2 linked regions of the Drosophila melanogaster genome follow. The protein of the gene in region 2 purifies or fractionates together with the protein of the main gene of each other region. This does not show direct contact. Each region holds a gene or a part of one and is shown on either strand. Other genes may lie near its edges. The genes, in order: Rpn3 and Rpn9.

Region 1 (4,254 bases), on a different chromosome or scaffold from region 2:
AAAATGCCGTTCTCGTCGTATACGTTATGATCATAGCAGCCCGCCCAGCTATCCACCACTTGGGCTTCTCCAAGAACGGGAATTCTATTATACAAATGGGGTCTGATGTGCTGGGCGAAATATTGCGGATCAATCATCGCGCTATTATACTCTTCCGTCGAATCTTGCACGCAAATATAGTTGCCGCCCAGGCCATCTCTGCGAATAAAGATGCCCGACGGATCTATTGTCATGGGCATATTCATTCCGGGTGCACTTTGGGCCTGCGAGTTGATGGCGTACATGTATCGCTTGCGTGCGTTGATGGGCAGCGGAACCCGAAGTATTCCTGGACCCACGCCTATCCTTGCTAATCGCGCGATTTGTTCGGAACTAGCACCGGCGCTTATTACACACAGGGCGAACTTGCAAGTGCGTCGCGTACCATCGGGCAGTTGGATGACCGCTTTTTCCAAGCCCGTGTAGGCACCCTCGTTGGAACCAAGATCTGTGACAACAGAAATGTCCGTTTGGGATTTGAACTCGAAGTCGACCACCTGGCCACTGATAAAATGGGCGCCGTAGCCACTGGCTGACCGTCGGAAATTGCTCAGAAGTGCCAACGGATTAAACCAGCCCTCTTTTTCCAGACCAAGACAGCCCAAAGCGATGCCCTTGGTGTTTAGCCAGGGGAATCTGGCAGTCAGTCGATCTGCAGTGAGAAGTTCATTTCGGGCACCCAGTTCGTTTTGTAGCTGAGAGGAGCGCTTCAGGCTTTCCGCGTGCTCCTCGCCAGCGAGCATCAGATGGCCATGGGGCGTAAACTGGAGAGGCACTTCCTCGCCAAAGTGTTTTCTTGCGCTTCGCAGGAAGTCTGCGGCAAATAGTGACATTTGGATGTTTTCGGGCAGGGAGAATTGCTGACAAAGACCGCCCACCGAAACACGCGTGGCTGACTGGGCATACTAGAAATATGTGGAAGGCAAATTAAATATTCGGGGTAGACTGGTACACATCATTTTACTACCGTGTCATCCTTCTCGACCACCACAACGTTAAGACCGTCGCGGGCCTTCTCCTTCAGCCAATAGGCGATGGAGCTGCCCACTCCACCGCCGCCAATGATGAGCACATCGCAATGGGTCTGGAAGTCATCCGGCACAGTGGCTTCCTTGCTCTTGTCGCGCTCCCCTGAAAAGTGAAACTGGCTCTGTGTCGGAATGGGAACTTTCTCGGTCTCCGGTTCCTTTGGTACAAAGAACTCCTTAACTTTGCGCATATCGTTCCCGAGCAAACGGAGTGTTCGTCGTATGGGGTGCAGGTCTTCGCCGGATTTGTCGCCCCCGGAAGATCCACTTCCATTGCTCGTTGCTCCGGCCGAGAAATTACGGCGCTGAAGGAGACCCACCACTTGTCTGTACCGCAACATTTTATTCTCTTTAATTTTAATTTAATTCATATTCCGTATTAATTTTTTATTTTGTGTTATTTTGTAATAGTAATAACGTGCGATGTTATCGGAGTATCGATATCGAAAAGGCTTAACGGAATTGTGGTAATGTTTTATTGCAATTTAAATAAAAATACGCTTTTACTGAGTGCGTAACTTAAGAAAAGGCTTAACGGAATTGTGGTAATGTTTTATTGCAATTTAAATAAAAATACGCTTTTACTGAGTGCGTAACTTAAGAAATTCCTAACCCAAATTAAAGCAATAGATACATTTACTGTAAAACATTAAAAATAAATTCCTATAACATATGAGACTGAAAGTTCGCTCAGTGTACCGTAAAACGTATCGATAAATTGAAACGTAACGGCTTAACAGCTCTGTTAACCAACTAAATTTACCAGCACTGCCTGTAGCCGAAAACGAATAAGAAGAAGAAGCGACATTACTAGGCATTTTTGATTGGGATTGAGAAAAACAAAAGAAAAGTCGGCTATATTTGTGACCCCAGTAAATTGAGAGTTCCATTACAAAATGACCAACGCAACGGACATCGGTGCTAACGACGTGGAGATGGAGGTGGATCCAACGGCGGAGACGCTGGCTGACGAGAAGAAGAACCAAGATGTGGCCGCCGTGCAGGAGATCCGCGAGCAGATTCGTCAGATTGAGAAGGGGGTAGCCTCGAAAGAGTCGCGGTGAGTAGTGCAAGAATTAAAATCTTGTCCCTTCCTTATTATGGCTCATTTCCGCCAACAGCTTCATCCTGCGCGTCCTTCGCAATTTGCCCAACACTCGTCGCAAGCTGAACGGCGTCGTCTTCCGGAATCTTGCACAGAGTATTTACCCCGCTGGTGCAGATCGTGAGGCGGCCGTGGCTTTGATGCCCGCTGTGGAGAAAGACGCCACCGAGCTGCCCGATGTTCCCAAAAAACAAGTTGCCACCAAGGCTCCAATCGCCGAGGTCGATGCCTACTTCTACCTGCTCCTGCTGGTCAAGCTCATCGACGCCAGTGATTTAAAGCGGGCCGGAATTAGCGCCGACGCCCTAATGGCCAAAATCTCCATCCAAAACCGACGCACCCTTGATCTGATTGGTGCCAAGTCCTACTTCTATTTTTCAAGAGTGGCGGAGCTAAAAAACTCACTGGAAGGCATACGCTCGTTCCTGCACGCTCGTCTGCGCACCGCTACGCTGCGTAATGATTTTGAAGGCCAGGCGGTGCTTATTAACTGTTTGCTCCGCAACTACTTGCACTATGCTTTGTACGACCAAGCCGACAAGCTGGTAAAGAAATCCGTCTACCCGGAATCGGCCAGCAACAATGAATGGGCGCGTTTCCTGTACTATCTAGGTCGGATTAAGGCCGCTAAGCTGGAGTACAGCGATGCCCACAAGCATCTGGTCCAGGCCCTGCGTAAGTCGCCGCAGCACGCTGCCATCGGCTTTCGTCAGACGGTTCAAAAGCTAATTATCGTTGTGGAGCTGCTTTTGGGCAACATCCCGGAGCGTGTGGTGTTCCGGCAAGCCGGTCTTCGCCAATCTCTTGGTGCCTACTTCCAGCTCACGCAGGCCGTGCGTCTGGGCAACTTGAAGCGCTTCGGCGACGTGGTATCCCAATACGGACCCAAGTTCCAACTGGACCACACATTCACCCTGATTATCCGGCTGCGCCACAATGTGATCAAGACGGCAATCCGCTCCATCGGACTATCGTACTCACGCATCTCGCCGCAAGACATTGCCAAGCGGCTAATGCTAGACTCCGCGGAGGATGCCGAGTTTATTGTATCGAAGGCTATACGGGACGGCGTGATTGAGGCTACGTTGGACCCAGCCCAGAATTTCATGCGCAGCAAGGAAAGTACGGACATCTACAGCACCCGGGAACCGCAGCTGGCCTTTCACGAGCGCATCTCGTTCTGCCTGAACCTGCACAACCAGAGCGTTAAGGCCATGCGCTATCCCCCAAAGTCCTACGGCAAGGATTTGGAGAGCGCCGAGGAGAGACGCGAGCGGGAGCAGCAGGACCTTGAGCTGGCCAAGGAGATGGCCGAGGATGATGAGGATGGTTTCTAAGCGGCTGATTCTGCAAATTAATTTGTGCTTGCATTCATTTTTATAGAAATATAATCCGCAATTAAATAAGTTACAATAATTTCGGAACTTTTTTAATTAGGTATTGGAAATCAAAAATAGTTCAGAACTGATCTTTCTTTTTATTCAAGCAAAAAGTTGTATGTTGTTGTTGGTAGACAATCAAAAATTTCAATTCGGTTAGAAATGGAAAAACATTTTAAAAATGTCACTCTTCTGGCAGCCTTGGCGCGTTAATTTAAAACGAAGTCTGGCAACATAGATTCATATTCTTCTTTAGATCTTTTCCCTCCAAAGCTATTTTATTAAAGATCCCTTAAGTACATTGGCAGGACTTTTCTCTGATTGATAGAGGTAATTTATGATATGTAAATTATAGATGGAAAAGATGCAAATATTATTTCAATTACTTTAAACACGACCTTCCACAAAAAGCACACTTTTTCTGACGAAGGTTTTGGTCGGCAGTATTAACGGTCACACTGGCGCAAACAACACAAACAGCAGCCACGGTCACACAAATCAAAGTGGAAAAAATTTTTAGACAAAAAGGTGCACACAATGCAAATTAATTAAAGGCCGTGCGTATTAAATGCCCTAATACGCGATCCTACGTACTGTATTTTGCTGCCGAAAAGTGCAACGCGCGCCTATCGGGGAGTTTCGCGGAAATTGCTGGGTTTTTTGTGACAGCGGCGAGTAGTCTCCTCCGAATAACAGCGGCCGA
Region 2 (4,857 bases):
GTAAGTAAATCGAATTGAAGAGAAGTGGGGACCATCATTTGAGCTAACCCACGATGACTCCAACAGGTGGCTATGCAACAATCGATACCAAGTTCTTCCCGCGCGTCGCCTCGCAGGACACGCCCTTCAGCGGCGAGGCGGTCGAGGTACTGGTCTATGTGGCGACGCCAGAGAATATCTATTGGTTGGGCGATGACCCGGTCGAGGAGATTGCCCAGCAGATCGTATCCTGCCGCGGTCCCAGCGGACACAATGCCGAGTACCTGTTGCGCCTGGCCCTGTTCATGCACGAGGAGATTCCCGGCGTGAGGGACGATCATCTGTTCGAGCTGGAGCAATTGGTTTTAGAGGAACTGTACCGCCGCCAAATACCTCTGTCATCTGTGATGGGCCGCAATCCAGATAGGATACGCCGCGACTCGCACGAGGACATCCGCCGCCCGCCATCCTTCGAGTTCACCTCCCGTGTGCCCGACACCAAGCTGCGTTGCCTGAACATTTGATTTCTGGTGTGCTGGCGGCCAAGTGCTATGCAGGTCGCGTTTTTTGCTACAGCAAATTCCAAATTATTGATCGACATTTTAGCTTGTTAGGTAACCAGAGTCTATTGCCAAATTTGACGTATTTCTTTAAATTGTAAATAATCCTAGGCCTAATCATAAGCAGCAACTCCTCCATAAGTGATCTGATTTAGCCAATAAGCTAGGATTAAGCACAAAAAAACTTTTTACACGCAACTGTCAGGGAGTTAAATTACATATGAAAAGAAATGAATACAGTATTTGGGTTTTTAATTAAATACAAAAGCATTCGCGCAAAATGTGAATATGTGGGATCGTCTAGATCAGGCGAAACTAAAACTAATTGGTGAGGATTTCGGCGGCACGATTCTCCATCAGTTTCTCCATGTTCGTGATGGCGCCCATCCATGTGTCCAGAGTGCTGGCCATGCCGACAATCTGGCTGCGGTTGAGGACGCGTGGTTGCACCCACGACATGTTAACCACTCCAGCCACTTGGTCAATCTCGCCGCGGACGAGATCCAAAGCCAGAGCCTTCATGATAAGCAGTTCCACTTCCTTGGCGGGCAGTTTGGTCTCTTGCGCGATGTCGGTAAAGGAGATGGCTCGCTCGATGGCTGAGCGCTTGAAGGTCATCTCCATGAGGCAAAGGAGGGAGATCTTCTGGCGCAACTTGACCTCCTGGGCAGCCAAATCGGGAATCTTGGACCAGATTTTCTTCATGTCATTAAACCTGCAAAGGAATAATAGAAAGTGTTAGTTACTGCAGATATTAAATTGCTATTACTACACACTTGTTAATATCGCCCGTGTTGAAGGCTTTAAGAAGTTCCATGAGCCACTCATTTTCCGTGCCCTTAAGCGACTCAAGAATGGGATGAGCCAGCAATTCGCCTATGTTGTAGACACCATCGCCCAAGAGAGCAGCCAGACCCAAGAAGAATGCCTGCTGGGCCCATTGATCACGGGGGTACTCATCCATGGAGCAGCCCAGAAACTGTAGGCCACATCGGTAGTAATCGCTGTGCTTGCCCACTCGCCGATAATACTGGGATGCCAGCATGTAGTATTTGCCGTGAACGGGCGTCACATTACCCGCTTCCTCTAGGACATCACGCAGTTCCTCGATGATCTTCTTGGTGGCATTCAGATCGTTCAGGTTGCTGAGGTACAGATTACCCTGCATCACCTGCAGATACCAAACGGCCTCGTCGCAGATCTTCACCTTGTCCTTCATCTTCTCCAAGAACTCGATGGCCTCCTTCTTGTCACCGATGTTGTCAACCACCACCTCGAGAATCTGGATGAGGCCATAGGGGTTTATTCTGCAAATACAATACATTAGATTCTGCCGAGTCATTTGCAGAAGCCGACTCACTTGGTCTCGAAGGTGGACAGGAAATTCTGGTAGAGCTGCAGCAGCGCAGTTTCGTCCTGCAAGGATTCGTGGCGCACAAAGGTCACCAGTTTGATGGTCAGCTCATTCCAGAGTCTGTAAAATAATTGTATTACAAGAGGAAAATTGAAATTTAAAGCCCAGATCTAACTTTTCATTGTAGAGCTCCTCGATGAGCGTCCATTCGGCGGCGAGTTCTTTGTTGGTGGTCTTCTTCTGGGTCGCCAGATAGGCGGTGACATTAGGCTGAGGATTGGACATCGCAACTGCGCTTTGTGTTGAATTAATTTCAAATGTAATGTTTAATGTATTCCCAAACTACAAAAATTGCAAATCACAATCGCCGACGCAGCTGTCACATTGACAGATCGCTTGTGTGGCCGTTTGTTTTTTTTTAGCTTATTTTGGTATTTTGTATTTTTGGGCGAATTTTTATGTAAAATTTATTTATGAACTAAAAAAGGCTTACATAATAACAAATGGCTGTATTTTTTATTTTTATATCACATGGAAAGCATTATTTATGATATTATTTCAGTGCCTAGAAACTACTCGATGACTCATTCGATAACAACAGCTGCGGGGCTTGGGCTTACGTTGTACTCACCGTCTGGTCACACTAACCGAACAGCTGTTTCTGCGTGAAGTTGTGTACGCGGAAGAAACAACGTTTCAATTCGTTTTGGAGCTCGCAGCGAAACAGTTTATATTTCCGCACTCCAGGATTCCACTTGGCAGAGAGTCGCCGCGCAGCCAATTAGCCAGTTAGCCCGATCCGCGAGAATATCGATATTTAACCGGGCCACAGCAGCACTGCCAACAAAACCAAATACAACAACTCGAGTGTGCGCCCTGAACTAACTAAAAAAAAGTAAAGCTGTCGTGTGTTTTGCACATTTAACTATTTGTTAGCCAAATAAAGTAGCAATCGAATTTCGCGAACGAAAGTGCCGCAATTAGTGGTTATATAAATGTAAGCCAAACAACGCGTCGTGCAAGAAACTATGTGGATTTGTTCGCAGAAAGTTGACAAACTGAGAAGAACTAGTTAGCGACCACAACGACCGCTCCAACTGGAAACCGCACTCCGCCAAAAGAGATCCTCATTAGCATTTCTTTTGTGGATTAAGGCGCGTGTCAACTATTTGTCACCGATCTCCAAGCAAACGATCGATTCCTCGTCGAAAAGCAAGGTTAGTTCTGGGTTCTATTTTCGACTTTTTGGGGGTCACTACTCTGCCCGACGAGGTTCCCCCTTTTGGCTTCGAAATTCCAAGCAGCATGGCCCTACTGATTGGGCCAGCGGTTCCCATTGGATACGATCGCGTTCCATTGAGAACTGCATAATTGGTTGTACATTGTATCCCACTATTTGGTTAGTAGACAGTTATGCAATTGGGGCTCCCCAATCTTATCACTCAGTGGGCACCACGTCGCCGCCGTCTATTAAAAGTTCTTGGCTTGCAATGGGTGTTGGACAACTTTCTCTTTGAAAAGCAAAAGCCACTTGAGCACAGGAGCGTTGGGTAAAGAAACGATAATTAAATTACTTTCGAGCTGATAGAGAATTTGGAACTCAAAAAGCTATTGAATTGGAAGATTCAACATTTGTATGGATTTGTACATAAACGAAATATATCAACCGAATTGTACTGCATTTTACAGTATGTAAATGCCTTCTTTTTGAGTAATATTGCACAGATGTCGCCTATTTTGTGCGTCCTTCGCAGTAAAAAAAACACTTGAACCAAATCGGCCAGAGTTTACTGTAACATCCTGCTGCGCTGTCAACATTTCTTTTCATTTCCTGACGCCACTGTGCGTTTTTGGTAGAAAGAAAGTACTACTACTTTCTCGATGTAGCAGTTGATTTCCTTGGCCTGTTCCCCACTTTACCAATTTACCAAAATCGAAATGGGCGACATCTGGCAGCGACAGAAACGATGCACAACTATAATATATATATATATGGATATGTATGGTATATATGAAAACCGGCTGAAGGCGTATTACGGTTATGTGAAGAGCGGCAATTTCAAAAATCCAAAACAAATTCCGAAAAAAAAAACGCCGTCGGATGACGACTTCATCTTCATCTCCGTCCCAGACGACAGACAGCAACAGCATCTGGCTATTAAAAGCAAAAGTGAAAAATGCCACACAGTCGCCGCCGATGCAGTGGCCACAAAAACCAAACAAAAGCAAAAGAAAAAGATGTAGAAAAAACATAAACCATAAAACTGCTGCAACAAGTGAAGCAGCTTTGTCAAGTGCATTGCCGCTTCCTTGTTTTTTTTTTTTTTTTTTGTATTTTGTTGCTCACTTTTTGTTGCTGCTGCAGCCAAGTAGTAATATTATTCAATTACAGGCCAATCCAGTTGCCCCGAGTTGCGAAAGAGTTGGGTTCGGCTTGGTTTCTCGCATGTTCATATTCGATTTTTGTGCCAAGCTCTTGGGCAGGCAGCCGCGATCGAAATTATAGCAACTGCAGTCTTCTCGTCAATGTCAATAGTTAAATAGATAGATCACCCTGCAAGGCAGCTCATTCATGCGTCATTCAAGAGGTGCACAAATAAGATCCATTTAATGACTTAATACAATCTTTTATGTTTTTAGTAGCTAATTCTATGATGGATTAAATATGATGAAGTATCTATATTTCCACAATTTCGGAAAAGAATCTAGCCTTTAGTTATTTTTTTTTATACTATTAAAGCAAATATTGCTCATATTTTCTTGACCCACACTGTGAATTCATTGATACCAATTCAACTTGGGATTCCATTGGCGGCGATTTCATAACTCTTGCTCTCACCGCCGTGCGACTTTGGCTTTGCCCAACTTTGATTTGGTTTTTTAAACAAATTTATTTTCATTTAACGCTGGCCGCGCTTCTTTTTTGGCTTAATGGACTGGCATTTTACTCTCTCGTTTCTTTTC

Evidence for each region.
Region 1: the proteins of Rpn9 (region 2) and Rpn3 purify together in Drosophila melanogaster (affinity purification with mass spectrometry, with the first as the bait; one large-scale study listed by BioGRID). This does not show direct contact.

What each region holds. Positions count from the first base shown.
Region 1 is NT_033779.5:19,050,091-19,054,344, forward strand, and holds Rpn3 (regulatory particle non-ATPase 3), read left to right. Parts: upstream 1-1,699; 5' UTR 1,700-1,963; coding exon 1,964-2,127; intron 2,128-2,188; coding exon 2,189-3,509; 3' UTR 3,510-3,591; downstream 3,592-4,254. Other genes in the region: l(2)37Bb (lethal (2) 37Bb), read right to left, coding at 1-944, 1,007-1,408. UniProt on the Drosophila melanogaster protein: Acts as a regulatory subunit of the 26 proteasome which is involved in the ATP-dependent degradation of ubiquitinated proteins.
Region 2 is NT_033777.3:23,730,728-23,735,584, forward strand, and holds Rpn9 (regulatory particle non-ATPase 9), read right to left. Parts: upstream 2,736-4,857; 5' UTR 2,525-2,735; intron 2,285-2,524; exon of another isoform or gene 2,184-2,284; 5' UTR 2,179-2,183; coding exon 2,069-2,178; intron 2,014-2,068; coding exon 1,900-2,013; intron 1,847-1,899; coding exon 1,316-1,846; intron 1,255-1,315; coding exon 861-1,254; 3' UTR 648-860; downstream 1-647. Other genes in the region: CG10365 (uncharacterized protein), read left to right, coding at 67-503.